Linked DNA regions of Callithrix jacchus. The protein of the gene in region 2 binds, or shares a complex with, the protein of the main gene of each other region. Links are inferred from orthologs where the notes say so. Each region holds a gene or a part of one and is shown on either strand. Other genes may lie near its edges.

Evidence for each region.
Region 1: the proteins of GDF5 (region 2) and RGMB are in contact, whole or in part, in a crystal structure (PDB 6Z3J), measured with the Homo sapiens proteins. The link is inferred for Callithrix jacchus from reciprocal best matches to the Homo sapiens genes GDF5 and RGMB. Residues at the interface, in NP_000548.2 of Homo sapiens: Leu396, Arg399, Phe435, Pro436, Leu437, Arg438, Ser439, Asn445, Val448, Ile449, Leu452, Ser455, Met456; in NP_001353437.1 of Homo sapiens: Gln57, Thr60, Phe63, Val64, Thr67, Ser68, Leu70, Asn71, Tyr88, Leu103, Val104, Ser107, Ala108, Leu110, Gly111, Ile112, Asp114, Leu115, Gln118.
Region 3: the proteins of GDF5 (region 2) and BMPR1A are in contact, whole or in part, in a crystal structure (PDB 3QB4), measured with the Homo sapiens proteins. The link is inferred for Callithrix jacchus from reciprocal best matches to the Homo sapiens genes GDF5 and BMPR1A. Residues at the interface, in NP_000548.2 of Homo sapiens: Arg399, Phe435, Pro436, Leu437, Ser439, His440, Glu442, Pro443, Asn445, Val448, Ile449, Leu452, Ser455, Met456, Pro458; in NP_001393490.1 of Homo sapiens: Gly65, His66, Cys67, Pro68, Ile77, Thr78, Phe83, Ile85, Glu87, Cys100, Met101, Lys102, Glu104, Gly105, Phe108, Gln109, Asp112, Ser113, Lys115, Ala116, Gln117, Arg120, Ile122.
Region 4: the proteins of GDF5 (region 2) and HJV are in contact, whole or in part, in a crystal structure (PDB 6Z3L), measured with the Homo sapiens proteins. The link is inferred for Callithrix jacchus from reciprocal best matches to the Homo sapiens genes GDF5 and HJV. Residues at the interface, in NP_000548.2 of Homo sapiens: Met412, Trp414, Trp417, Phe478, Asp480, Ser481, Lys488, Tyr490, Met493; in NP_001366281.1 of Homo sapiens: Arg95, Arg98, Gly99, Leu101, His104, Ser105, His108.
Region 5: the proteins of GDF5 (region 2) and TWSG1 are in contact, whole or in part, in a crystal structure (PDB 8BWL), measured with the Homo sapiens proteins. The link is inferred for Callithrix jacchus from reciprocal best matches to the Homo sapiens genes GDF5 and TWSG1. Residues at the interface, in NP_000548.2 of Homo sapiens: Glu434, Phe435, Pro436, Ser439, His440, Glu442, Asn445, Val448, Ile449, Leu452, Ser455; in NP_065699.1 of Homo sapiens: Cys26, Lys28, Cys31, Ala32, Ser33, Val35, Ser36, Leu39, Ile40, Cys44, Gln45, Cys46, Arg47, Cys73, Val74.

Annotation. Positions count from the first base shown.
Region 1 is NC_133503.1:111,970,228-111,975,900, reverse strand, and holds the start of RGMB (repulsive guidance molecule B), read left to right. Parts: upstream 1-2,250; 5' UTR 2,251-2,439; intron 2,440-3,411; 5' UTR 3,412-3,473; coding exon 3,474-3,478; intron 3,479-5,673. UniProt on the Homo sapiens protein: Member of the repulsive guidance molecule (RGM) family that contributes to the patterning of the developing nervous system. Acts as a bone morphogenetic protein (BMP) coreceptor that potentiates BMP signaling. Promotes neuronal adhesion.
Region 2 is NC_133506.1:3,868,088-3,874,060, reverse strand, and holds the start of GDF5 (growth/differentiation factor 5), read right to left. Parts: upstream 3,947-5,973; 5' UTR 3,644-3,946; coding exon 3,013-3,643; intron 176-3,012; coding exon 1-175. UniProt on the Homo sapiens protein: Growth factor involved in bone and cartilage formation. During cartilage development regulates differentiation of chondrogenic tissue through two pathways.
Region 3 is NC_133513.1:42,411,514-42,416,725, reverse strand, and holds part of BMPR1A (bone morphogenetic protein receptor type-1A), read right to left. Parts: intron 2,983-5,212; coding exon 2,790-2,982; intron 780-2,789; coding exon 482-779; intron 1-481. UniProt on the Homo sapiens protein: On ligand binding, forms a receptor complex consisting of two type II and two type I transmembrane serine/threonine kinases.
Region 4 is NC_133519.1:8,456,762-8,462,614, reverse strand, and holds HJV (hemojuvelin), read left to right. Parts: upstream 1-1,847; 5' UTR 1,848-2,009; intron 2,010-2,250; exon of another isoform or gene 2,251-2,327; intron 2,328-3,257; 5' UTR 3,258-3,365; coding exon 3,366-3,462; intron 3,463-3,848; coding exon 3,849-4,396; intron 4,397-4,838; coding exon 4,839-5,462; 3' UTR 5,463-5,479; downstream 5,480-5,853. UniProt on the Homo sapiens protein: Acts as a bone morphogenetic protein (BMP) coreceptor. Through enhancement of BMP signaling regulates hepcidin (HAMP) expression and regulates iron homeostasis.
Region 5 is NC_133514.1:53,557,985-53,562,844, forward strand, and holds part of TWSG1 (twisted gastrulation protein homolog 1), read right to left. Parts: intron 1,702-4,860; coding exon 1,520-1,701; 3' UTR 1-1,519. UniProt on the Homo sapiens protein: May be involved in dorsoventral axis formation. Seems to antagonize BMP signaling by forming ternary complexes with CHRD and BMPs, thereby preventing BMPs from binding to their receptors.

The DNA.
Region 1 (5,673 bases), on a different chromosome or scaffold from region 2:
AAAAAAATGAAACCAACAGAATAAGACACGCTCACAATATTTTCCCACCACTATTATTTAAGGAAAATTTTTCCCAATGAAAAGATTCTTAAGAACTCTCTTTAATAGACAGCTTTTAAAAGGGAGCATTATATGAAAGCTAAGCCATTATTGAAATTCTATTGTTTAAATTAAAACAAGAGATTTGTAATTTAAAAGTTAGTACTTCATTATGAGATTTTACACTTTTTTGCCTTGGTTGCATAGAAAGTTCCCCAAAAACAGACAAGCTTTCCCAGAGGAAGAACTCAGGTTCAAGTTTCCAAAGTGGGTAGTGAATTTAAAATTCTGAAAAATATTATGGAACTAAGGAAAAATTAAATGTATTACTTGATGAATGCTTTTCTGTGATGATTGACAAGTTAGCATCCAGGCTCCACTGACCAATATTTATGGGAAAAGAGTGGAGGAGGCAGGGAATTCGGGCAGCTTGTGCCTGCTATTTATGTACTGTCCAGCTTAGCAGGAGAGAGAGGAAGGACTGGTGGCATTAAAAAACATCCTGTGGGCTGGCCCACTGGGCTTGCTTTGAACTCTTGTTCATCATTATTTTATGCTGCAGCTTGTCTTTGTGTTGGTGGAAGGGAAAAGAAAAACACAAGAGACTAGCCTTTAGTTTCTAAATCAAAGCTGTGCTTTGCTGACTGCTGGAGTGGCTTTTCAAAAGCAAAGGGTGTGGGGACATTAAAATTCCTTGCTCTGTGAAACAGAAGCTGAGTTGGGTTTTTTCTTCTTCTTCTTAATTCTCAGATGCAGAAGAGTATGTTTCAATATATCTTACATTTACCTTGAAACAATCTCAGTATTTTTTTTTTTTTTCAGTTTGGCACTTGGAGAAGATAAAGCAAAGTGAAAAAACACTAAGGAGGAACCTGCAGCGGGTTGGAGGAAGGGCAGTCATTATCACTGAATTTAAGAAACAGAAGAATATGTAAATTTTACTAATTATTGCCCTTTACACATCCTTTCTTGATAGTGACACGAGGGTCCAAAGACGTTAAATCAGTTGCCTAAGACCCAGACCCAGAAACTCAGGCCTAGACCCTCTTCTGTGTTTCTGTGGATTCCCATTCGCCCTCTTTACACTGCCCTATGCTGCCTCTAGCGTTAGCCCAAGAAACTATAAGGAGGGGCTGTGGGAGGAGAAGGCAAAAACTGGAGAGGGTCATAGATTCCTGCCTAAGGAGGCAAGAAACGACCTCCCTGAGTGAAGATGTTTAAGCATTTGACTTGACTAAGAGAAGCAGCCCGCTCGTTCCAAGGGTTGAACGCGCCTATTAGCTGCCGCTGAGTATCTAGGATGCTTTTTTCCCCCTCTACTTTGGAAGATTAATCTAAGGTAGAAAGTTAATCGCTTTCTTGCCCTCCACGACTTCTACACTGATCGAAGCGACCGTCCTCCCTCTAACATTTCATGGGCTCGTTCTTTGCAACACACTTGCTCTAGGTCTTAGGTGTCCCTTTAAACCCTCTCTTCCCTCTTTATTCCCAAATCTTTTATCTTTGGCTCTCTTAAGCTGTAAAGACACACTGGCACCTTAGGTGGTCAGGGAAGGTCGCTGGATTTCTTCTTTCGGTGAAAGTCCGGAGGATCGTTCCTGCCACTGTCCCCATATTTAGACACACTAGGAAGACCCTCAAGGATCATTTACGGAGAGAACGGGGTGCATTCTGCGGCTGCTGGCGGGAAGCTAGAGAATGTGGCGGGCGGGGGCAGCGCATCTGGCGCCTTGGCAGAGGTGCGGACTGGGAACAGCCCGCAAGCGTCCGCTGCCGCCTGCCCCGCGACGACGCGCACAGTCGCCCACCAGGAATCGGTCGGTGCCGCGGGTGGGCGAACGCAGCGCCGCTGGCCCGGAGGACGGCGCGGAGGGTGGCGCTGGCTGCGTGAAAGGCGTCTTTGTGCAAGACTGAGTGTGGTGGGGGGAAGGCAAAGAGAGAACTGGGCCGGGAACTGGACGCGGAGGTCTGGGGCGCCCCTACGCCCCCAGCTGTAGGCTGTGCAGGAAGGAGCCGGGTAACGCCGGCAGGGGGCAGTGTGGCGATAGAGGAGTTGCTCGGGGGTGGGGGTCTCCTTTAGCCTCTATTTGAGGCTAAAGTAGGGAGAAAGCAGCCTGGAGGAAGCTGGTGGGGATTGGGCTCCCCGCCCTCTCGCCTAGGTGGCGGAGAAATCGCGCTAGCTGGAAGGGCGCAGCTCCTCTCCGAGAGCTCATTCCGGAGTCGGAGAGCTGGGAGTGCGGCCCCCGAGGCGGAGCCTCCCTCCAGCCCCGAGTCCCGCTGCCCCCACCTGGGGGAGAGGGGCGGGCGCCGCGCTGCCTTCCCTCCGCGCCTCGGCCGCGTGGCTTGCGGCTTATTTTCCCAGCTGGCAAGCGCCGTGCTGCAGACAAGGGAATGCCTGTGGTGAGTTGTTTATTTTGCTGAAGTTTGCGGTGGGCCCGGGGGACGTGGGGGGCGAGCGGCAGGCAGCAGCCGGGACTGTTTTGTTTAGGTCTCCATCCACCTGTGTGGTATAAATCTGCCAGCCTCCGGGCGGCGGGGGGCCGGGGTGAGAAAGCCCTGACGTTCCCAAAAGCCCCTTTTCGCCACTTACAGATCTAAGACCACATTTGATTCTCCACGCCTGGAACCAGCTAGATCCTAGTTTCGCTCCCCCACCCTCCAGCCCCCCATCAACGCTTCCCGCACCCGCTGTGTGCAGGGCTGGTGCTCCGCAGAGCAATCAGCGCCCACGACCCAGGGACAGCTGGCCGCCGAAGTCCCTCCCCAGCGCCCTTTCCTGTTCTCTTGAGGACAGGGAAGCTGAGGGTTTAATGTGAAGGGCGCTCATGAAATTCGTGGGAACTTGTTCTGGCTTCTTCTGGCGTGGAGTTCTTTCAGGGGTGTCGGGTCTGCCCCGGACTACAAAATAGGATCCTGAGTTGGCTGAAGTTGCCCAGACTAGGCTGCAGAGAGGTCGGCTGTTGGCTCGCAGGAGAGCCCAGAGGAACCCCTTGAGCTGATGGCAGTCAAGACCGGCGGCTGCGTTTGCCTGCAAGAAAAGCCTAAATACATTAGCGAGCTGGTAAAGCTTTTAAGGCCTTCTTAGGAGCGAGTGGCTGGCTAATGAGAGGTTAATTTTGTTTCGAAGGGAAGGCTGCACTGGTTTCCTGAGATAAATGGACAGGAAGCGCATTACCTCCGCGCGCTGGCAAGAGGCTCCCAAATGCTTTTTGCACCTGCCGTTTTGAGCGGTGAGAGCAGGAGCCGAGCCCGCAGGGATTGCGGGGGCCCGTTGCGTACGAGTGGGTGATGAGCCCCTCACAGGCCCCAGGCTCGCTCCCTCCGGGGGTGCATTGCTCACACCAAGCTCTGGGATTCTTCTCTCACGCCCAGGTCCTGCGTGTTCCGAAGTCCGGGGGCTCCCTGATCCCTCTCCAGGAGCGGAAGGGTTAAGAATGATGTAAGTACAGGCACTTGGTTTCTCAAGTCGCCCGCTTGGCCCTCTTCCAAGTTGTACTTTCCTTCTTTTCTCTCCTTTCCTTTCCTTCCTTTCTTTCCTTACTATTCTAAAGCTTTTTAATAAACTTTCACTCCTGCTTTTTAAAAAAAAAAAATGATGTAAGTACAAACCACGAGCTGCTTGACGCTGCGCTGTCGGACTCCAAGCTATTTCAGCCGCTGCTTTGTATACATAGTAGACGGAGGAGCAGCCAGGGAGCCCTTACTCTAGAATGGATTGCACATATGGAAACCTAGGTGATCTGCTAAGCAGGCAGAGATCCTCCTGTTAGATTTCTGGAAATGGAGACATATTAACTAGAAAACAGTTAAAACATCACGTATAGGTTCAGGAAATGAAACCGCATATTGTTTAGAATCCATTAGTGTTTCTGGCATGTGTTTTAATTCTGTCCACTCCCCTGAATGTACTGTTCAGGTCTCCTCTTTCTCTTTCCTTCCTGAAAACAAAGAGGAAGGGAGAAAGTGCACCAGTGGCAAGAAACATGGTGGATGTGTGAGTTACACAAGTCATCAGTCACTTCATTCTTTTTATCTGATTAAAACATAAAACTTTTATAAGTCATTGATTTTATGTTTGTGTTTTAGCACCCTCTCCGATTTTTCTTTGTAGAATCTAAAATCCTTTGTAACTTGCAGCTCACCGGCTTGAATGGCAGTGCTATAAGCGACCATGCACTATGCTCTTGCTTTCCAAGCCGATTTCTGATCTTTCTAACAGTACCAATTTACCCGCGAGTTGTCAACTGACTTATGTCTTGAAAATAGGAATCACCATGTGGTTTAATTGTGAAAATTAGCATTTTCCTCTAGCGTCTGAACACTTATGCAGCAATAAAAAGTGAATTGTTAGGCTTATAAATCTCGAGCTTGTCAAATTTTACAATAGAGGAGCAATAAAGCACCTTAGAGACAATGAAGTTTTTCCTCAGAACAGTTGTTTCACACCACCAGTATTTGCAATGACTCGAGGACGCCCTCTATTGATAAGGAAATCTAGAGCACTCGTGTACTTACAGAACAGGATATGGGGGGAGGGGAGTGAAAAAAAAATCATATAAAGTCACAATCGGAAAGACCCAAACCAAACTGAAATTTTTGATCCTTAACTATTGGTTGTATGTTTTGTAATACGGTCAATACGGTGAGATGCTTCTTTTATAGGGCCTTGGGTTAAGAGGAAAAAAACATTTTAGTCTTTGTTAGCCAAATACTTTGAAAATCAGTATTATATTTCATTACTTTTTAAAGATACTTCTTAGTATATCATGAATTATATCTCATTAATTATATGAAGCAATTGCAAGATGGTAAATTTTTGCTCTAATAATATTTAGTCCACGGCATTATCTGAAAATGTCATGTATCTTCCTCCCCAAAAGTCATTTCTCCAGGCAACTGTGAAGCTATTATTAAGCATATTATGGATACACACAAGGCTTGGATTATATCGTGGATAGTGAAAGGTGTGTTTACCCCTTGAGTCATCATAGTATGTAATAAGTAAGTAATGAAAAGTTACAGTAAAAACAGATAGGCATCCTTGATTAGGGATCTAGTGGTTTGAGCAATTCACAGTGTGTCTGAGTGAGCTGGTGAGACAGGAGGTTTGCCCCTCAATTATCCTAGTCCATTGATTAGTACATTTAAACATGTATGGAATATCAACATGTCCGTGGTTGATATGAAATTCCTAATTAAATTAGAGATTCTGAGTAATGTAGCGGGTAGAGTTGCCAGCAACGATTTGGGTGTTAGTGGATTTTAAATGGCAGCCGTGCTGTTTGGGGAACAGCTAAGGCCTAGGGCAGTATCAAGTGTCTCTCAGCCTTGAGGTCATTCTTGAGATTAGATATCACTTCACACCTACTGATAACAAATTGGACTCTCATCAATCTCACAACTGCTTTTGTCTCCACTTGGCAGCCTCTTTCTGTGCAGACAATTGTCTTTTTCTTCACTTTTGGACCCATCCGATCATAAAAGGAGAAAGTGACCTGACATTGAATTAATCTGTAGAAATTTATGGAAAACTGAATAAATCTGTAGAAATTTGTGGAAAAGCCACTGAGCAACAACAAATCATGGCATAGTTACACTGCATAAAAACGCACCACTCTCATTAATTACACTGTA
Region 2 (5,973 bases):
GGGCAGCTGGACAGCTTCAGTTGGGCAGCCCGCCCGCCTCCAGGGGCCGCTGGCTTGGCGGTGTCCGAGGGCTTCTTCCGCAAGATCCGCAGCTCGGCCCCCAGCAGCCCATCCTTCTCCAGGGCACTAATGTCAAACACGTACCTCTGCTTCCTGACCACGGGACCTCGGTCATCTAGAGAGAACACCCAGAAGTCATTCCCTACAATCTCACCAAGGGAGCCAGCCAGTCACCTCGAGGCTGCCGGGGAAGGCCCCAGCTCAATCTCCCTCCAGAGATCTTTCTCTCACCTCTGCCCTATTCTGACAGAAGCCAAGAACCAAACCACTGAGAGCCTTTTACAAAATGAGGGCACTTCCTACACAGTCAATCAAGTAGGGGTGTTCATCTGCAGATGTGGGTGGGATGATTGGAGTGATTCCGGTGTTTGTGTCATGATCTATGTGTATCAGAGATTTATCATGATCTATATGTATCACAGAGTTATCAGCCTTGTAACTGCCTTCTACCTCTCTCTCTCTCCCACCCACAAGCTAATGTGATATCTCATTTCTGAGACTGGTGGAGTGGGCATTAAAATTACTCCCGTTGACTGGGCACAGTGGCTCACATCTGTAATCCCAGCACTTTGGGAGACTGAGGTGGGTGGACTGCTTGAGCTCAGGAGTTGAAACCAACCTGCAAAACATGGTGATGCCATGTCTCTACAAAAAAATACAAAACTTAGCTGGGCATGGTGGCAAGCACATGTAGTCCCAGCTACTCAGGAGGCTGAGGTGGGAGGATTGCCTGAGCCCAGGGAGGTTGAGGCTACAGTGAGCTGTGAACATGCTACTGCACTCCGGCCTGGGCAACACAGTGAGACCCTAGCTCAAAAAAAATTAAGCATTTTTCCAAAGGAGAATCCCAAGGTTCAGAAAAGTTAGATGACTTGCTCAAGGTCACCCAGCTAGGAAAAATCAGACTTGGAACTCTAGCCTAGGGCTTTTTTTTTTTTTTTTTTTTGACACGGATTCTTGCTCTGTCGCTCAGGCTAAAGTGCAGTGGCACAATCTCAGCTCACTGCAACCTCTGGTTCAAGTGAGTCTCCTGTTTCAGCCTCCCAAGTAGCTGGGATTACAGGCGCCTGCCATGATGATGGTCTATTTGTATTTTTAACAGAGGCAGCGTTTCACCATGTTGGCCAGGCTGGTCTTGAACCCCTGACCTCAGATGATCTGCCCGCCTCAGCCTTCCAAAGTGCTGGGATTACAGGCGTGAGCCACCACCTGGAGTTTTTTTATACCCAGTTCTCAGCTGTATCCACCTTCCCTTAAAGGAGACCTTAGTGTCATTTTACAGATGAGGCACAGAGATAGGGAGTGACTTATCTAAGGTCACAAAGCGAGTTAATGATAAAGCTGGCCCACACTGACATACACCCCAATTTTCCCGGCTTCCCAGTATAAGGATTTTGTTGCCTATGTGTCTTACCCTCCTGAGTGTGTGAGTGTGTGACAGTGGTGTGTGTGTGTGAGATTGAGTTCATGTATGAGTATGAAGAGTATATATGATTGGGCTTGTGTGACTATTTGAAGGGCACATAGATGTATAGTGTGTATGATCGATCTTGTGTGTGTATGTAAGAAGGTGTGTGTGCACATGCATACATGTGTGATTCAGTATGCGTGTACATGTGTGATTCAGCACAAGAGTATAAACATAAGACTGTGTGTGTGTGTGTGTGTGTGTGAGAAGCTCAGTAGTATCTCCGAATCAGCATGCTGTCCTTCCTAAATACCAATTTGGCATTGGGGAACTTTCATATAGTACTCTAGAAGGTGACTAATTAGGCCTTTAAACTCCCCATCTCCCCCTCTCCACGCTCCCTTAGTGCTAGGGGGCACAAGGACTTATTTTATGAGCCCCCAAGGGGTCACAGCTTTCCCTGGCTGGGCAGACAGCCAGGCCACCTCCCCCACCTCAGCCAGACCTGCTGCCTCTGTGCCTCCCCCGCCCCCTGGCAGCCCCCTCCAGGCCAGCTCTAATGAGGAGCCTCTCCCACCCTCTGACCCCTCCCCCACACTGCCAGCCTAGGACTTGGAACCAGAGCAAATGAGCTGCACGCATCTTAAGCGACCAACAGCCCACCTCCCTCTTCACACTAGAAAGAAACTGAGGCTCTAAGAGGGGGAGGGACTTGCTTAAATACCACAGCAAGTGGAGAGGAAAAGCTGGGACAGTAACACTAAATGGGTGGAGAGAGACAGGGGAGCAGGTATTCTCCCAGGTTAATGAGGAGAACGAGGCATGTTCAGGACAGGAACTAAAGTTTTTGTGTTGGAAGGGATCTCAGAAACCACCCTGTCCAACCCCCGTAGGTGTACAGATGGGAAAACAGAGACCCCAAGTGAGAAGGGGCTTTCCCAAGGTCACACTGTGAGGCAGACCCTAGGCTACTCCCTCCCCTTGTATGCAAACGTCATTCCATGACCACAAGATGCCCCGTTTTCTGCGTGCACCTATCTCGCCTCCGTGCACCTATCTCGCCTCCCTGCACCTATCTGGCCTCCGTGCACCTATCTCGCCTCCTTTATCCCCTTGCCTGAGGGCAAAGCTGCGGAACCATGGGGAGCTCAAGATTCATTTCTTTCTCTGCCATCTGAGACCACCTCCAAACCCCTGGAGCCTGGAAAGTTGGGCCAATCCAGCAGGTACAGATGCACAGCTGGGTAATCAAGTCTTGGGATCTGGTCTCCAACTCTGCCATCAACTGGCAGGTCTTGTCTCCTCTCTGGCTTTACTGCCCGCCCTGCACCTTGCAGGCATCGGACCTGGTGAGTCCTAGGTGACCTCCAGCGCTGATGTGCAGGCAGCCTGGGATCCGCTATGCGTCCGTGTCCCCAGACACCCACCCCAGGCCAGATGCACACAGCGTCTCCCACCAGGGCTGTGCCAGGGCTCTGAAAGCCCCTCCATTCATGCAGATGCCCCTCCCTCTGAGCCGTGCCCCTGCCACCCCGCCCCCTCACCTTGCCCTTTGTCAATAAAGCTGGTGATGGTGTTGGCCAGGCCAGCCTCCAACTTCACGCTGCTGTTGGCTCCCTTTCTGTCAGCATCGGACAGCGTCCTGTACAGCGAGAGCATGTACTCGTGGGGTGTGACGGGGGGCGGGCGGAATGGCTCCTTAGGCTCTCGAGGGGACCCCGGCTCCCTGGCCTTCTTCAGCAGGAAGGAGCTGGGGACAGATCCTGCCTTTGGGGGTGGCTTGCCCCCGGGAAGCTGTCCTTTTGGGGTCACAGTCCGTGCTGTAGCCTGCCTTGTTTGGGAAGGGTGGCCTGGCTTGGGTTCAGGGCCGCCCAGTTTGGGGGGCAGCTTTTTGGGTTCATCCTTCTTGGGCTGTGTCAGGCCTCCTGTCTGCCCGGTGCCTCCCTTTGCCCTGGCATTGGCGTTGGTGGACCCCCCACCATAGCCGTGACCCCCTGGCCTGAAGACGTTCCGGGCCAGAGGGGGCCTCTCCTTGGCCTCTGCTTTGGCCAATCCGGGCCTGGCCCCCTGGGGTCTCTGGCCCAAGTCAGGGGCACCCAACACAGTGCAGAGGAATTCCAGGTCCAGCCAAGCCAGGTACCAAAGCAAGAAAGTGAGGACTTTGGGGAGTCTCATCCTCTGGCCAGCCGCTGAATGACACCACAGAGAACAGCGGCAGCAGCGAAGGTGCCTCTGCTTTGGCAGGAGAAACCATGAAAGGAGTGGACTTCCACAAGCAGCGGCAGCAGCAGTAGCGGCAGAAGGAAAGGCTTTCTCCTGAGTCCGAGACTCCTGAAGTCTGCCGGGCGTGTGTCTGTATCCAGTCCCATAGTGGAAACGCTCTCTATCCAGACGTGCACCGTCTCCAGTCAGCAGCTGAAAATAACTCGTTCTTGAAAGGAGAAAGCCGACCGCCCCCTTTCTCCTGCACAACTGACTGAGGGCTTGAAGGAGGCTTGGATAAGGCTGAGGGATTTTTCCAAGAAGGAAGAATGGCGTAATACTGCCTGTGTGCTCCAGTTTTTTTCCCCTAGTTTTGAATCCTTTCCAGTGAAAATACTTCACACACACACATACACACACACACACACACACACACACGCCTGCAGGTGCTCAGAAAAATCTTTTACAAACCTGAGCTCAGGAATTGGAAACGGAATTCCAACCCAAACCAATTTAATTACTCTCTGATGTCATGCTGTCTAAACTCATTTGAGTGCGATATATTTATGTGAAAAAAATCACCGCTGCCCTTTCGAGGCTATGGCTCACGGGGGCTCTTGGCACAGAGCCCCGCAGTGGGACTCTAGGCTTAGGGGGCCTCCCCCTCCACGGAGCAGACTCAGGGGTCTTCACCTCCACCTCGTGGAGCAGCCCACCCCACCTTCCTGAGGAGAGATGCTGAAGAATGAGCTCAAAGATCTTAAGCCCCAGAAGCATGGGGAGTGTGGGTTTGTAGTTAAGTCCTTAGAGGGTTTTTAAAGCAGTTTCAACTCCTGCGTCTAGTCTGGGACTTGAGGTGTGTGTGTGTGTGTGTGTGTGTGTGTGTGTGTGTGTGTGTGTTATGTGTGTCTGTGGGTGTGTGTGCCTGTTTGTGTGTATTAGTAGTGGGGACAGCACAGATGGCAGCATTTACCCACAGTTTCTTTTATTTTAATAAACTTGTGGTGACCCAGAGACTGAAAAATATCAGTGCCAGCTATACCCGCTCCCTACTTCCAAATGCCATTGACTGAGTGCATATTCTTCAGGCTTGAGGGCACTGCCACCCTTGAGCCACTGCTTGGATGGTGGCAGGTCCAGGGTGCACCCCACCACCACCCCAGCAAAGACGTCCTCAATAGTTTTTAGAATAGACTGGCTGAGTCTGGGGCAGCAGCGGCCCCTACAGGAGGCTGGAAAAGCGATTTCCCACACAAGGCTTTTCTGGTAGCTGGGGAAGGTCTGAATTCCAGCTGAATTCCTGGGTTTCTTAAAGTGCCTCATGGAAGTATGGAAGCTCCCTTGCTCTTAGGAACCTGCGCCATAGAGCCCCTGAGCAACTTACCACAGTGGGGAAAGCTGTTCGCTTCACCTGAAATATCCTCCTCTCTCTCTCCCACAACTGGAGGAAGCACTCCACATCCTGAGAAGTTTAGCTGAAAATTCACCTCCTTTGGGAAACATTTCCTGATCCCCAGACAGAGCCAATTACTCCCTCTGCACATTTCATTACAATAACACTGGCCATGCTGTGAGAAGGATGACAGGGGAGAAGCAATAGTCAGGTAGGCTTCCTTCTTTTTTTTCTTTTTTTCTTTTTTTTTTTCCGAAATGGAATCTTGCTCTGTCTCCCAGCTGGAGTACAGTGGTGCGATCTTGTCTCACTGTAACCTCCGCCTCCTGGGTTCAAATGACTCTCCTGCCTCAGCCTCCAGAGCAGCTGGGCCTACAGGTGTGCACCACCATGCCCATCTAATTTTTGCATTTTTAGTAGAGACCGAGTTTCACCACATTAGCCAGCCTGGTCTCGAACTCCTGACCTCAAGTGGTCCACCCACTTTGGCCTCGCAAAGTGCTGGAATTACAGGTCTCTCTACTAAAAATACGAAAAGGTAGCCAGTCAGGGAGGCAAAGTTTGCAGTGAGCTGAGATCGCTCCACTGCACTCCAGCCTGGTCGACAGAGCTAGAGTCCATCACACACACAAAATAAATACTTTTTTTCTTGAGACAGAGTTTCACTCTTGTTGCCTAGGCTAGAGTGCAATGGCACGATCTTGGCTCACTGCAACCTCTGCCTCCCAGGTTCAAGGGATTCTCCTGCCTCAGCCTCCCCAGTAGCTGGGACTACAGGAGTGCCCTACCACGCCCAGCTAATTTTGTATTTTTAGTAGAGATGGGGTTTCACCATGTTGGTCAGGCTGGTCTCGAATCCCTGACCTCAGGTGATCCGCCTGCCTCGACCTCCCAAAGTGCTAGGATTACA
Region 3 (5,212 bases), on a different chromosome or scaffold from region 2:
TGGTGGCTCACACCTGTAATCCCAGCCCTCGGAGGACTGGTGAGCCTAGGAGTTTGAGATCAACCTGGGCAACACAGCGAGACCCCATCTCTGCAAAAAATAAAAACATTAGATGAGTGTGATAGCGCATGCCTGTAGTTCTAGCTACTCGGGAAGCTGAGGTGGGAGGATTCCTTAAACCCATGAGGTTGAGGTTGCAATTGAGGTTGCAATGAGTTATGATCACTATACTGCATTCCAGCCTGGGCAACTGCATGAGACACCGTCTCAAAAAGCAAACAAACAAAAAGATATCAAGAATTATGTATAGGATTAGGAGAATGCAATTTTTTGTAGAAAGAACAAACCCCCAACTATATATTTATGTAACTAAAAATGAGCATGTGTACATTTTTAGAATTCCATTATCTTGAATACAAATAGGGAAATGTCTTTTGGAGATCAAAATACTTTCGAAACAGTAGGGCAAAGAACCACTCACCTGTTGAATTTAACAGCAAGGCCCAGGTCAGCAATACAGCAACTCCCATTTTTCTTGATGAGGATGTTTTTGCTCTTCAGGTCTCGATGAGCAATTGCAGGCTTTCCTTGGGTACCATAAATTTCTGTGTGCAGGTGGCACAGACCACAAGCAGCTGAATAAGCCAATTTGAGCAGGGCTCTGGTGTCCAGTGTAGCACATTTCAGGAAGTCATAGAGAGACCCATTTTCATGGTAATCAGTAATCAAATAGAGCTGAGTCCAGGAACCTGTACCTTTAATGTCTGCTGCTATGAAACCTGTCCAGTTGATGAGTTTAAAAGGTTAGTTAACATCAGAGATGGCCAGGGAAAAGTAATGCTCATTCTGGATACTGAGAACTACTTAGGTATCATGTGCAGATAATGAAACTTTAATTTGCCTGACATCAAGTCATAAATATGTCACTAAAAAATTTTATTTCTACAATTTACACATATAATTGTACTTCTATAATAAATTTATAAATCTTAATAATCATGAAAATGATAATATGACTAGAAAAAGATCACATATTCTGGGCATGGTGGTTCATGCCTGTAATCGCAGCACTTTGGGAGACTGAGGCAGGGAGATCACTTGAGGTCAGGAGTTCAAGACCAGCCTGGCCAACATGGTGAAACCCCGTCTCTACTAAAAATACAAAAAATTAGCTGGGCATGGTGGCGCATGCCTATAATCCCAGCTACTCAGGAGGCTGAGGCAGGAGAATTGCCTGAACCCAGGAGGCGGAGGCTGCAGTGAGCAGAGATCGCACCATTGCACTCCAGCCTGGGTAACAAGAGCAAAACTCCATCTCAAAAAAAAAAAAAAAAAAAAAAAAAAAATTAGCTGGGTGTGATGGCATGTGCCTGAAGTCCCAACTACTCAGGAGGCTGAGGCAGGAGAATCACTTGAACCCCGGAGGAGAAGGTTACAGTGAGCTGAGACAGAGCCATTGCACTCCATCCTGGGCAACAGCGCAAGACTCGATCTCAAAAAAAAAAAAAAAAAAAAAATCACATATACAAATAACCTGGAAAATATCATCAATCTACATGATTCTCTAGTGGAAAAGGCTCTCAATTTCAAAGCAAAAAGTGGACACTTAAATAAAGTTAAGAATGTTCAACCAAGAGTTAGCTCCTAATTAAGCCAATTCCCATTTGCCCATCAGTGACTCATCGCAGCTGCCTTTTCAGTCTGGCTCATTGACTGCCAGGTCCACGGTCCTGCTCTCTTTTCCTTTCTCTCCTACCCTCTTCCCTCCAGAAAAAGGTCAGTTAGTGCTATGCCCTGAGCTGAGCTGAATAGTGCTCCCCAACAAAATTCATGTCTAAAATCCATGTTACCTATAAATATAACCTTATTTGGAAAGAGGGTCTTTGCAGATGTAATCAAGTTAAGATGACCCATACAGAATAAGGGTGAGCCCGAATTCAGTGGCTGGTGATGTTATAAGGTGGAAATATGGACCCAGGCACCCAGGGAAGGCCACCTGATGACAGAAATGGAGACTGGAGTATTGTCTATAATCAGCCAAGGAACACCAAAAATTCCTGGCAACCACTGGTAGCCAGAAGAGGCAAGGAAGTTTCCACCCTAGAGTCCTCAGAGACAGAATGGCTCTGCCAACACCTTGGTTTTAAACTTCTAGCCTCGAAAACTGTGAGTTTTGGTTGCTGAAACCACCCAGTGTGTGGTTAATTGATAGAGCAGCTCTAGGAAACTAATACAGTTGCCTGCTTGGCAATGTGCTATGCACTCTCCAAATTAAAGGTAGGAAAACAGGAGACGAAGGGAAAAGAAAACTCAGGATAGCCAGATCGGTTTATGCATCTGACCAATCAGCTCATACCTACATTACTTTGCTACTGTGTAAATACGGAGGCTGGTGGGGGGAACACACATTAAACACAGAACATACAACGAAGCAGCATGTTGGGCTGTTGAGGTTACGAAAGGCAAAAGGCATATATGTTAATGTTACCCTAGACCACTGCTTAAATTATCTATAAAAGACTGGGTTTTCATTACTATGGGAGTAATCCAATAAACTAGTATTATTTTCCATTTGAAACTCACTGCTCTTTCTTCAGCTGGTTAGTAAAGAAAGTGCTTGGTTGGAATTCCGGACTGTGTTGTATTTAAATCGTGTATTCTGTCGGGCTTCCTTTAGCCAAATGTATATAGCTGAGCTCACACATGTTTTCAAAGCACATATGGAGGCTTCCACCTGCATCCCACTAGCCTTGTCAAACATGAAATTGACTGAATCAGTGTGTACCTACCAAGTATGTTTTCATGGCGCATTAGCACAGTTTGGTAGATTTCTGTTTCTCGAAACCAGCTGGCTTCTTCAGTGGTAAAAAATACTTTGACAGCCACTTTTTCGCCACGCCATTTACCCATCCATACCTCTCCATATCGGCCTTTACCAACTTGCCGGACCATCTGAATCTGTTTGGCAATAGTTCGCTGAACCTTTAAAGAGAAAAGTAACATGTTTGAGCTCTTGATGAACGAAACCCTTTAAGACTGGCAATGGGGTAGTTCATCTCATCAAAAAGCACGGTGTACCCAACCAACTCCAATTAAAAACTTAGAAGGTACTTTTTTTTTTTTTACATGGAGTCTTACTCTACCACCCAGTCTGGAGTGTAGTGGCGCAATCTTGGCTCACTGCAACCTTCACCTTCTGGGTTCAATTGATTCTTCTGCCTCAGCCTCCCAAGTAGCTGGGATTACAGGAACCCACCACCATGCGTGGCTAACTTTTTTTGTATTTTTAGTAGAGATGGGGTTTTGCCATGTTGGCCAGGCTGGTCTTGAACTCATGACCTCAGGTGATCTGCCCACCTCGGCCTCCTAAAGTGCTGGGATTACAGGCATGAGCCACTGTGCCTGGCCATAATGTACTTTAAAGCATGAAACAATGTACTGTGATATTATAAACAGGTTATTCAATGTGGCTGGCTGCAAAAATGGTGATAATAATTCCCTTCCCCTCCCACTGCATACAGCCATGGGTAGTCTTGGCCCACAGACTCAGAGCTTAGGCCACATAACTTGCTTTGGATAATAGAATAGCAAACGTGATGCAAGAAAAGACCTGACAAATGTTTGTGCACTGGAGCTTGCACTTTCCTGCTGCTTTGGGAACCGTGACCAATGAATAATGGCAGCATGAACTGCTGGCCATGCATGTAAACTGTACCACCTAGCTCTAGCTGAACAAATCTAACAAGTGGACTCCCCTGCAGACTCACAGACTCATGAGAAATAATTTTTGTTGCTTCAAGGCACTAAGTTTGGGGTAGTTTGTTATGCAGCAAGTCCAAATGACGGTTAAAAGATCTTAAAAATTCGGCCGGGCGTAGTGGCTCACACCTGTAATCCAAGCACTTTGGAGGCAAAGGCAGGCGGATCATCTGAGGTCGGGAGTTCAAGACCAGCCTGACCAACATGGTGAAACCCTGTCTTTATAAAAATAAAATTAAAAAAAAGAACTTAAAAATTCCATTTCTAAGACTCCACATGATCTGGCCTGTCCCTATTATTTCCTGTGACCACCTACCCGTAAACCTCTTGTTTGACTTATCTCAACTTTCAGAATTCACTCAAGCTTATTCCTGTCTCCGTGTCTTTTTGAATGTCCAGTTCCTATTTAGAGTGCTATTTTCTCACTTAAATACCTTCAAAGCACACACAACCTCTCAGTTGCTCCACTTAACACGATCATAACTTTATTCTTATTTACATATGTATTTGCTTGAATTCCATCCCCTGCTCACAGAATATAGGTATTTATTTGGGACAATATCAGAAGTACTTTAATATTTGTTAACTACAAGATGTACACGGACTGTTATCTTTCATTTTCGGAAGCATTAGTGATCATTCTAAATTAAAAAGAACGCTATATTCCAAGTTGGAAATGCTTCTAAAATAAACTAAATTTTGTGCAAACCTAAACTGACTTCATGTATCATTTATTATAGAATCCTTTTGAGAAAGAGTCTCGCTCTGCTGCCCAGGCTGAAGTGCAGAGGCACAATCTCAGCTCACAGTAACCTCTGCCTCCCAGGTTCAAGTGATTTCCTGCCTCAGCCTCCCGAGCAGCTGGGATTACAGGCATATGCCACCAAGCCTGGCTTATTTTTGTATTTTTAGTAGAGATGGGGTTTCACCATATGACCAGGCTGGTCTCACACTCCTGACCTCAAGTGATCTACCCGCCTCGGCCTGTAAGTTTTTTTTTTAAGTCAAGATTATTAGGTATAATTTATATAAAATGTACACTTTTTGAGAAAAGTACAAGCCTTAGTACAACAAATCTATATCATGTAATCACCAACACCACAAATAAAATACAGAACATTTTAATCATATAAAAAAATTCTCACTTTTTGGCGAGGTGCGGTAGCTCACGCCTGTAATCTCAGCACTTTGAGAGGCCAAGGTGGGTGGATCACCTGAGGCCAGGAGTTTGAAAGCAGCCTGGCCAACATGGCAAAACCCCGTCTCTACTAAAAAATTACGAAAATAAGCCAGGCGTGGTGGCACACGCCTGTAATCCCAGCTACTCGTGAGGCGAAGGCAGGAGAATCACTTTTGTGTAGCCTTTTGTGTCTGGCTTCTTTCATGTAGCATAAAATTCTTTTGAAATACACCCACTGCTGCTGCTACATGTGTTGGGAGTTGTTCCTTTTTA
Region 4 (5,853 bases), on a different chromosome or scaffold from region 2:
TATTGATTCTGAGTGTGTCCATGAGGGCGTTGCCAAGAGATTAACATTTGAGTCAGTGGGTAGGAAAGGCAGATACACCCTTAATCTGGGTGAGCACAATATAAGATGCTGCCAGCGCAGCTAGAATAAAAAGCAGGCAGAAAAATGAAAGGAGAGACTGGCCTGGCCTCCCAGCCTACATCTTGCTCCCGTGCTGTCCACTTCTTGCCCTCTAACATCAGACTCCATGTCTTTCTGTTTTGAGACTGAGACTGGCTCTCCTTGCTCCTCAAGCTTGCAGACAGCCTACTGGGGACCTCGAGATCATGTAAATTAATACTTAATAAACTCCCCTTTATATATGTCTATATCTATCTAGATATAGATAGATATAGACATCTATAGCAAACTATCTAGATAGATAGATGATTGATTGATTGATAGATAGATAGATAGATAGATAGATTAGATAGATGATAGAGATACAGAGATGGAGATAGAGATAGAGAGAGATCCTATTAGTTCTGTCCCTCGACTGAACCCTAATACAGTGACACTATTTGGAATTGGTCCTTTTTACATTCCATTTGGCAAGTACTAAAAGATTGATGATCTCAGATATGCCTATGGCTGCAAAAACATGACATGGCCAAATCCCTTGGTTGCAATATCTTTTTTTTTTTTTTTTGCTTATTTTTTTTTTAAGGCAGGAGGCCTCACTCTGTTGCCCAGGCTGGAATGCAGTGGTGCTACCATAGCTCACTGCAGCCTCAAACTCTTGGGCTCAAGCGACTCTCCTGCCTCAGCCTCCCAAAGTGTTGGGATTTTGCAGTATTTTAAAGTCACAAGATTATGTTATTCCACAAAAGTATGTTTCAGAGACTAGGCATGGTGGTTTACACGTGTAATCCCATCACTCTGGGAGGCCAAGACGGAAGGATTGATTGAGGCCAGGAGTTCAAGACCAGGCTGGTCAACATAGTGAGACAGACAGACACCATAGAAAGAGAGGAAGGAAGGAAAGAAGGAAGGGAGGAAGGGAGGGATAGAAGGAGGGAGGGAGGGAAACAGAAAGAAAATCTTTTTGAATCTTTTTCTGTTTCTCCAACTCTTTCTCCCCTTCTAAAAATTCTCTTTCCATTTTTTCTTCACCTCTTTGCCTTTGTTAGCCTTCTCTCCTAGCAACTCAGGAGCTTTTATTTCTGTGTGTATTGATGAGGGAGAGGGAAGAGGAATTGCTGTACAAACGGAAGTAATGAAAATGGAGTAGGTAGGAGGATAGACAGCTGCAACGATCTGAGCTAGATAGACTGAACAAGCCCTCATCCTAAGCAACTCACAGCTCCGATTTCTTCTCTGGACAGCTGGTTCTTTTTGTCCTCCTGAAATACTCTGCAAAGAAAGGGGAGAGGCTGTGAACTACCTCTGCTATGGATCTTATTTAAAGTCAGCTACCTCCTAGATACTATCTGTAGAAACTAAATGTAATATTCATCATATCAGGGATGAAGATGGTAAATGAAAGGTATCCATTTGCCCACTGTAATTTTTAAAGGCCAGGAGCTCATCATTATTGAGAATGCTGGAGGGCGGCCTGGAGTAGGCAGTGACTAGAGTCACACAAGCTGGAACCAGATATCCAACTTGTCTGTCATATTTTTCTCTTCCCTCCCCAGCTTGGCACCCAATACTCCATATTCCTTCTAATTCTCCTACCCTCCCCGCTCCCACACCCTACCCCCACCGACGTTCCTGGAATTTTGGACTTAGCTATTTTTAAAACCGGCAACTCAGTAGCCACCTCCCACCCTGCTCAGCTGTCCAGCACTCTGGCCAGCCATATAGTCCCCCTTCCCCCAACACCAAACCTTCTCTGGCTCCCTGACCTCAGTGAGACAGCAGCCGGCCTGGGGGACCTGGGGGAGACATGGAGAAAGAGACAGAGGATCCCCTGGCTGGAGCTGACCCACAGAGTAGGCAATCACGGCTGGAGAACTGGATAGCAGAGTAATGTTTGACCTCTAGAAACAGTAAGTCAAAATGAAATTGCAATTCCTTTAATAAGCTTTTATAGTGAAGTTAGACTGTTATAAAATTACAAACACCTACTCGGATGTCTCCTGTCCAAATGCTGGGATCTCTTCCTACCAAGGTGCCCAATCACCATTTCTCCTTCTGTCTCATTTCTTTCTGGCCTCTGGCCTCTAGCCATTTGAAGTGTAATTCTCTGTCTCTCCTCCGGCAGTCTTAGCCCTCTCTTTTGCTTATTACCTGAAGACTTCTGATGAAGTTTTAGGAGTTCCCCACACCCTCGATCCTGTAGTTTTCTTACCAGGGCCAAGAATGACCTCGGATGATGAGTCACTGACACACTTCTATCCTGTCCCCACTTAGCAATGCCCTTTGCATTGAGATTCCAAGGGTGGGGGCTGCTCCTTGTAAATGATTTCTCCCCACACTCTAGTCCCTCCATTCTATTCTCCCTCTTGCAGGACTCTCCCCTGAATCATATCCTAATGCACAGGACGGGGGAGTTAGGCAGGAGGGATTTAGCTCCTCCCTAACCCCTGTTCTCATGAAAAGACCCAGAACTTCAGAAGTTGAAAAGGAGAGATTAATAGAGAGGTTCTTCAGTGAAATTTGGGAAAATACAAGAACGGTTGACTTAGAAAAAACAAATATTAATTTGCATGTTTGCTTTGCATCCCATTATTCCATGAGGGGGGGATTAAAATTCCTGTGCTCTAGAGCTGATGAAAGAGATTGGTTCCTTTTCATTTGAATATTGACATTCTGGAGGGAATGGGTATGCCACCCTCACTCCTTCTTGTGTCCTTCTGACACAAAGAAGAAAAAGAAATGTATGGCTCCTGGAAGGCATCTCCTCCTAACGGAGAAGGACAAATAAGAAGTATATTTCTGAAGTATTTTCAGGTCCTGATTCGATTAGCGTACCCACTGGGATTACTGGCGTCCTATCTATCCCCATGATTCCTCCGTCTTTGACATAGCTGCTGTTTGGTATCTCAGGATGGAGCAACACAGTGGACTCTGCCCCCCTGAGTTCACCCAACCTTCCCTCCACCCCCGCCTGAGGCTGTTGCACAAGGGCCCTAAAAGTGGCCACAGGAACAGGGCAAAGAGGCTTAGCTGCCACACTTACAGTGTGAGGAGCCCCAATCTCCCAAATTCCAGTCTGCTCATCCTTTCTTTATCTCCCCAGATTCACCTCACATTGTCCTGACCAATCTTCAACTCTTCTCTCTCTCCATGTCCAGCCAAATTTCTTTTTTCAGTCACTTACAGGACTTCCGGTCAAAATTCACTAGGTAGGAGGGTCATCAGCTGGGAAGAACCGGGCGCCCGGGGAACCTGGCTGGATAGTTATGGGGGAGCCAGGCCAGTCCCCTAGTGCCGGGTCCCCACATGGCAGTCCCCCAGCTCTAAGCACTCTCACTCTCCTGCTGCTCCTCTGTGGACACGGTAAGGAAGGGCCAGGGAAGGGTTTGGGGAAATCTAGAGGGTAGGCTGCTATGTAGGGGTGGGCATGTGAGCATGAGTGAGTGAGGAGACGCGGGCGCTGAGAGTCCGATCACTCACCCTGCTCTCAAATAGGTATATTTTATGTCCCATTCAGTTTGGGGAAGGGCACTGGGGAAGCCCTTGGTCGACAGGCAGAAGAGATTCCCTTTTATTCCTACACATTTTTAGTAAGACAGCCGAGAGAACTAGGGATTTGGGGTTTGGGGGCTGGGGAAGGCCCTTAGTTGGGTTTTAGGAAGGCTGGAATTCCCTGATGAGATTTGGAAGAGTTATGATAGAGCAGAGGTCTGAGGACGGTCTCACAATCCTCTCCCTTCTGTCTTTAGCTCACTCTCAATGCAAGATCCTCCGCTGCAATGCTGAGTATGTATCGTCCACTCTGAGCCTTAGAGGTGGGGGTGCATCAGGAGGAGGAGGAGGAGGCCGGGGTGGAGGGGCGGCCTCTGGCGGCCTCTGTCGAGCCCTCCGCTCCTACGCGCTCTGCACGCGGCGCACCGCCCGCACCTGCCGCGGGGACCTCGCCTTCCACTCGGCGGTCCACGGCATCGAAGACCTGATGATCCAGCACAACTGCTCGCGCCAGGGCCCTACAGCCCCTCCCCCGCCCCGGGGCCCCGCCCTTCCAGGCGCCGGCTCCGGCCTCCCTGCCCCGGACCCCTGTGACTACGAAGGCCGGTTTTCCCGGCTGCATGGCCGTCCCCCGGGGTTCCTGCATTGTGCTTCCTTCGGGGACCCCCATGTGCGCAGCTTCCACCACCACTTTCACACATGCCGTGTCCAAGGAGCTTGGCCTCTACTGGATAACGACTTCCTCTTTGTCCAAGCCACCAGCTCCCCCGTGGCGCTGGGGGCCAACGCCACCGCCATCCGGAAGGTCAGGCACTCAATCTCCCTTCTGATCCACCTCCTGAGATTCTTCGAGGGGCACCACTTCCTCCCCATCCCCACTATTCCACAGCAGTGCTCCCTAGTTCCCTTTTCTTCCTCAACCACTCCCCCATCTTGAATCATTCCCTTCTACCAAATACTTGGAGCTGTAAATCATTTCCCCTTGATGGGAATTTCACTCAAATGCAGAAAACAGCTGGAGAGCGCATCGGAAGGGAAACTTTACCCTCTCCTAGGAAGTTGCCCAGATTAAGTAGAGAGAGAAGTTAAGTCGGGATGAGGCAATACTGGAACGTAAATAGGAGAAGGGATCAAGGACTGGGCCACAGTAGTCCTCACCTCTACCTGGATCAGACCCCTTACTGTGTGAGGTCTGACTGGGGGAGGATGCACTGAACCAAGTGAACCGTTTTCCCTCTTGCCCTCAGCTCACCATCATATTCAAGAACATGCAGGAATGCATTGATCAGAAGGTCTACCAGGCAGAGGTGGATAATCTTCCTGCAGCCTTTGAAGACGGTTCTGTCAATGGAGGTGACCGACCTGGGGGATCCAGTTTGTCGATTCAAACTGCTAACCCTGGGAACCACGTGGAGATCCAAGCTGCCTATATCGGCACAACTATAATCATTCGGCAGACAGCTGGGCAGCTCTCCTTCTCCATCAAGGTAGCAGAGGATGTGGCCAGGGCCTTCTCAGCTGAGCAGGACCTGCAGCTCTGTGTTGACGGGTGCCCTCCAAGTCAGCGACTCTCTCGATCAGAGCGCAATCGTCGGGGAGCTCTAACCATTGACACTGCCAGACGGCTGTGCAAGGAAGGGCTTCCAGTGGAAGACGCGTACTTCCATTCCTGTGTCTTTGATGTTTTAGTTTCTGGGGATCCCAGCTTTACCGTGGCAGCTCAGGCAGCGCTGGAGGACGCCCGAGCCTTCCTGCCAGACTTAGAGAAGCTGCATCTCTTCCCCTCAGATGCTGGGGTTCCGCTTTCCTCAGCCACCCTCCTACCCCCGCTCCTTTCCGGGCTCCTTGTTCTGTGGCTTTGCATTCAATAAAGAGGCCATCAGTCCTATTACTGGTTTGGAAATGATTTGGGGATAGAGACTGGCAGAGAAGACTGTAAAGCATCATTAAAGGAAGCAGGGTGCAGGAGACCCATGAAACAATGGTATCATACACTCAGATCAGGCTGCAGCCCAGGGTTGAAGTGATCACAGAGTAAGGATTCTGGGCAAGGTTTCTGCATTCCAGACCTCTGTGGGGCTCTTCACTAATTTTTTCAGCCCCATTTATAGTAAATAAATTGTTGTAAGCCATTTACTGCAGGTATCATCCTTATAAGCTTAGAGGTCAGGAAAGTTTTGATTCTCAGTAAAGATTTAAGGGCTGAGAGATTTCAGAGATAAGAGCTGAAAGCAGAGGACATGATCATTATCCACAAGAAAC
Region 5 (4,860 bases), on a different chromosome or scaffold from region 2:
ATAATAGTTGATCATAATATTACAATGATCTTTTAACTGATTGCTATTCAGATCATGAGCAATATAAAATGTAACCAAGAGCATTATCTATTTTTATATACTAAAATATGTAGATGTATAAAGAGATATTCCTAAAAAGTTGCTTGTAGTTTAAATATGCACTAGAGAAATTAGTAATTTTGTAAAATGAAGTCTGTAATATAAATATTTATGTTTTAGATTTATGCTTAAAGACTGAGATTTTATTACTATGAAGGGTACCTAGTTTCTTTATCAAAGCATTTATTGAAACATTATATAAAATGTTGACTAAATATTCTGTAGTGTATTTGGAGTGAACATCATCTTGAACAGAGATTTCAAAATTTCATAATCTTACCTCCCACAATGTGATTATACTTGTTTAAAGAGAACATTACATCCAGATATAAACTAAACAAATGAAAGATTACAAAATATGAATGTAGATAGTTTTAAGTTTGTTTCCTATTATAATTCCCAGCATTTTCAACCTGTCCTGTTCATACCACTAAATTCTCTTCAGTTCCTGTCCCACCACTCATCTGCTGGAAAACCCTGCTCTGTCTTGGCTAAGGCTGCACAAGCTTAATCTTGCTTCCGGCTCAGCCTCCCGATTCAGCTATACCATTTCCCTACCAGGATACAAGCTATTTCCCGGTGCTCTAAGTGGAGTCTGATTTGGCATTTGTTCCCTAACCTAGTGCTCTTTAAGCTGGTACCTTAAGTCACAGAAATGCTTTTGCTTGCTAATTATTTACCTTAGTAGTGCATTTAATGCAATTTCATAGGTGTACCCTAAAAATCTTGGTAAAAATTCTTCATCACTGCCTATGTTAGCACTTTGGGCAGGGGAAATGGAAGAGAATGGGAAACTTTCCTTAAAGCTTTGTCATTGCATCTATTATCGAAAGGATTCTACTATGTAAGAGTTTGTAATTATAAAATATGGCAAGCATTTACCTTTTAAAATCAACATAAAAGGGCTGAAATTGAGTTTTTTATGTGAGTTATCAGAGTGGTATATCGAATATCTACTCTATTTATATAAAAACCGATAATACAAGGAACAGTGAGGAATGAAGTGCAACTATAAAAATTCAGTATCCTAAGAGTAGCACATGAAGAAATCATAACTCACATCAACATACTTCTGCGAACACTTTCAAAGCAAAAACCTTTGGAATGCTACAAGAAAACCACATCAGGCTTCATGTTAAGAACCCTAGATCTTTCAAGGAATTCTCTGTGCACCTGCTTCTCATGTGACCAAAGTTGTACATGTATTCAAAGGAAAGGGCTTCTTGCTAGGGGCAATAAAATCAGTAAGAACAGTAATATAATTAAACACATCACTGGCTATGTCATATTTCAAAATAAACTTATTTCAAAGTTTTTATATCTTAACTTACTGGTATTCTAATGCAAACAACAGACTTACTGAATAACTTTATACCTTTTATTTTACTAAGTTGCTTTGGTTTGCATTTCTCTTTGTTCTTTAAAACATGCAGTTCATACATTTGACAGTTTTACTACCATAGTCAATACATTCTGGACCAATGCACTCACAGCAGGCATTATGAAACCAGCGATATTTGGATGCTCCCATGGACTCGCAGGATATTTTACACTGATGTATGGACATGCAGTCATCAAAATAAACCACAGTACACATGTGTTCTGAAAAACAAAAATTTAAGATTTCAGGGCAAGAAAGAAGAAAAAAAAATGCTTTAATACCTTGCTGAATATTAACAGTTATTTATCTTAGTTATTGTTGGTCTGCACATGACAAAGGTGAGATACAGGAAAAAAGATCTTCATTTATTAATTATGTTGAGAAGGAAGTCATATTCTCCTACTCCATCTGAAGAAGGCAAAGGGCTTCCTTAGCTTCTTTTATTAGATTTCAGGCTTTGATCTAAAGGTTAGATTACTGGGCTTAAAAAATATGCGCTACGTTATACAGTTGTGTTTTTAAATTGAGCTTTATTTATTTATTTAAGATGGAGTCTTGCTCTGTCGCCCAGCCTGGAGTGCAGTGGTATGATCTTGGTTCTCTGCAGCCTCTGCCTCCCAAGTTCAAGCAATTCTCTGCCTCAGCCTCCTGAGTAGCTGGGACTACAGATGTGTGCCACCACACCCAGACAATTTTTGTATTTTTAGTAGAGATGGGGTTTTGCCATGTTGGCCAGGCTGGTCTCGAACTCCAGCCTGCCTCTGTGATCCACCTGCCTTCGTCTCCCGAAGTGTTGGGATTACAGGCATGGGCCACCACGTCTGCCCTAAACTGGACATTTCTGATAAGATTTTCTATAAAAAGAGAATTTGCAAGCCAAAAGAAATGTGAAAAATGCTGTTCTAAAGTTATACTGAGAATTTACAATAACATAAAATAAACTTAAACAATTCAAATGATGCAAAGTGATTAGCAATCCTTGGCACAAATAAGTACCAGCTATTTAAAAATCTTCTTCTTAGGCTGGGCTCGGTGGCTCACAACTGTAATCCCCGTACTTTGGGAGGCTGAGATGGGTGGATCACTTGAGGTCAGGAGTTTGAGACCAACCTGGCCAACAAGGAGAAACCCCATCTCTACTAAAAACATAAAAATTAGCCAGGCATGGCAGTGCACACCTGTAATTCCAGCTACTCAGGAGGCTGAGGCAGGAGAATCACTGGAACCTGGAGACAGAGGCTACAGTGAGCCAAGATCGTGCCACTGCACTCTAGCCTGGGCAACAGAGTGAGACTGTCTCAAAGAAAACTTCTTCTTAATAGCAATTCCTAGTCTGCTTTCCAGTAAGACAACCACTTTTGATTACTTCAATTTTTAGTTCTCCTGGTGGTTAACTCTGTATGACTAGTTAGGAGGACAGGGTACATGAAATAAATAAAGGATAATAAATACCATTAACAGAGCGTATATGATCAAAGGCTAAATTATTTTTTCAAAGCTATTATGGAACTAATAAAGCACCAGGAGTCTGAATAGTAAAGGAAGGCTTAATGGAATAAACTGGATTTGCATTAGAAAGAATGAAAAACAGAGCTACTAAGTAACAAAATAAAAGTCATATGGAGATGGGTATAGTATGCATACTATACCCACAGAGTGGAGGCAGCCCAACTATAATGGGTGGTTGATATCAAGAGATGATGGAACCACCATTGGATGGGACCTGATTGAAGAGGAAACTGGAGCAGGGGCATCGCAGCACCATGTCACGCAGACTAGAGGGCTGGCAGTAAGTGGGAGGTGGAAGCATGAGTATCTCCAAGTGATCAGTACATAAGAAATTCAATTCATTTATTTATTCAACAACTACTTGATATCTACTATGGGATATCCATTATGAACTCAAAGAGTAATCAGAGAATACGCAGAACTAAGTAGAAAATGATAGATCTGTAAGTTAAAAACAGACAATAAATAGAACTGCAAATGCAGGCTGGGCGTGGTGGCTCAAGCCTGTGTAATTCCAACACTTTGGGAGGCCGAGGCAGGTGGATCACCTGAAGCCAGCAGTTCGCAACCAGCCTGGCCAACATGGCGAAACCCTGTCTCTACTAAAAATACAGAAAATTAGCTGGGCATGGTGGTGGGCGCCCATTACCCCAGCTACTAGGAAGGCTGAGGCAGGGAGGTGGAGGGTGCAGTGAGCCGATATCACGCCACTGTCCTCCAGCCTGGGCAATAAGAGTGAACTCTATGTCAAAAAAAAAAACCTGCAAATGCAGGAGCAGCAATATGAAGAGGTTAACTATATCTGAGGGAAGAGGTGCCCAGGAAAGATGTCACAGAAAAAAAACTGTAGTTGTGTCTTAAAGACAGCTGGAGTTTCCAGGAATTAGCTTCTTGCTAATTGTTTCATAAAGTTAAACAATCTTTAAGAAAAATTTATGAATTTTTATTTAATATCGATTATGTTATTTATATTTTAATAATGGAGATAATGATAGCAAAACATATTATTATTGCATTCCATATGCTTCTAATGTTTTCCAAAATCTAGCATTTGTTTTAAAATACTTTAACCTAAAAGGAAGTAAGAATTCTTACACTGCAATTTAACAGAAGCTATTCTGCTTTTATTATTAATGTCCTAAGTTCACACTGTTTTATAAAGGTAGGAATATAATGGAAGGCACAACTAATAGTCAAGTAAGAGTACAAATTATACTATTTATATATAATTCACCTCATAGTTTAAGAAATAATTGCAACGTTTATAAGTGCTTTATGCTTCCATGATGCCTTTTGTCAAAAAATATCAGACTTTATAAAAGTCACAAAATTATTTGGTGCCTTTTGTCAAAAAATATCAGACTTTATAAAAGTCACATGCTCTTTACATTCTAAAATTATTATATGCCCTATCCTCACTAATAAATGCTCTTAAATATGCTTCTGTAATTTGTATGTTATTTTCTCATTTAATTCCTCTTCTGATCAACAGTACCCATTTGCAGAGAACTGGCTGGGGTTAGTTTATGCCTGCAAATAAGATGTCTGGAATACCAACTTGCTTATAAAGAAATTTAGCTAATGACTTTGGCATTATTTTGGTGCTGGTGCTATTATAAAAATCTGATCTCATGGGATACTCTGAATGTTACCTGATGACAAGCAATACCCTATTAGAGAAGCAGCACTGTTGCTATCTTATGAAGGGAATAAAGCCTAACACAAATAAATACCAGAATTAGGAACAATGATCTATTTTCCAGCCTCTGTTGCCAGGAGTATAGAGGAATTTTGACAATATGCTGACATGCCTCTTTATCTTTTTTTTCTCTCTGAGATGGAATCTTGCTCTGTCACCCAGGCTGGAGTGC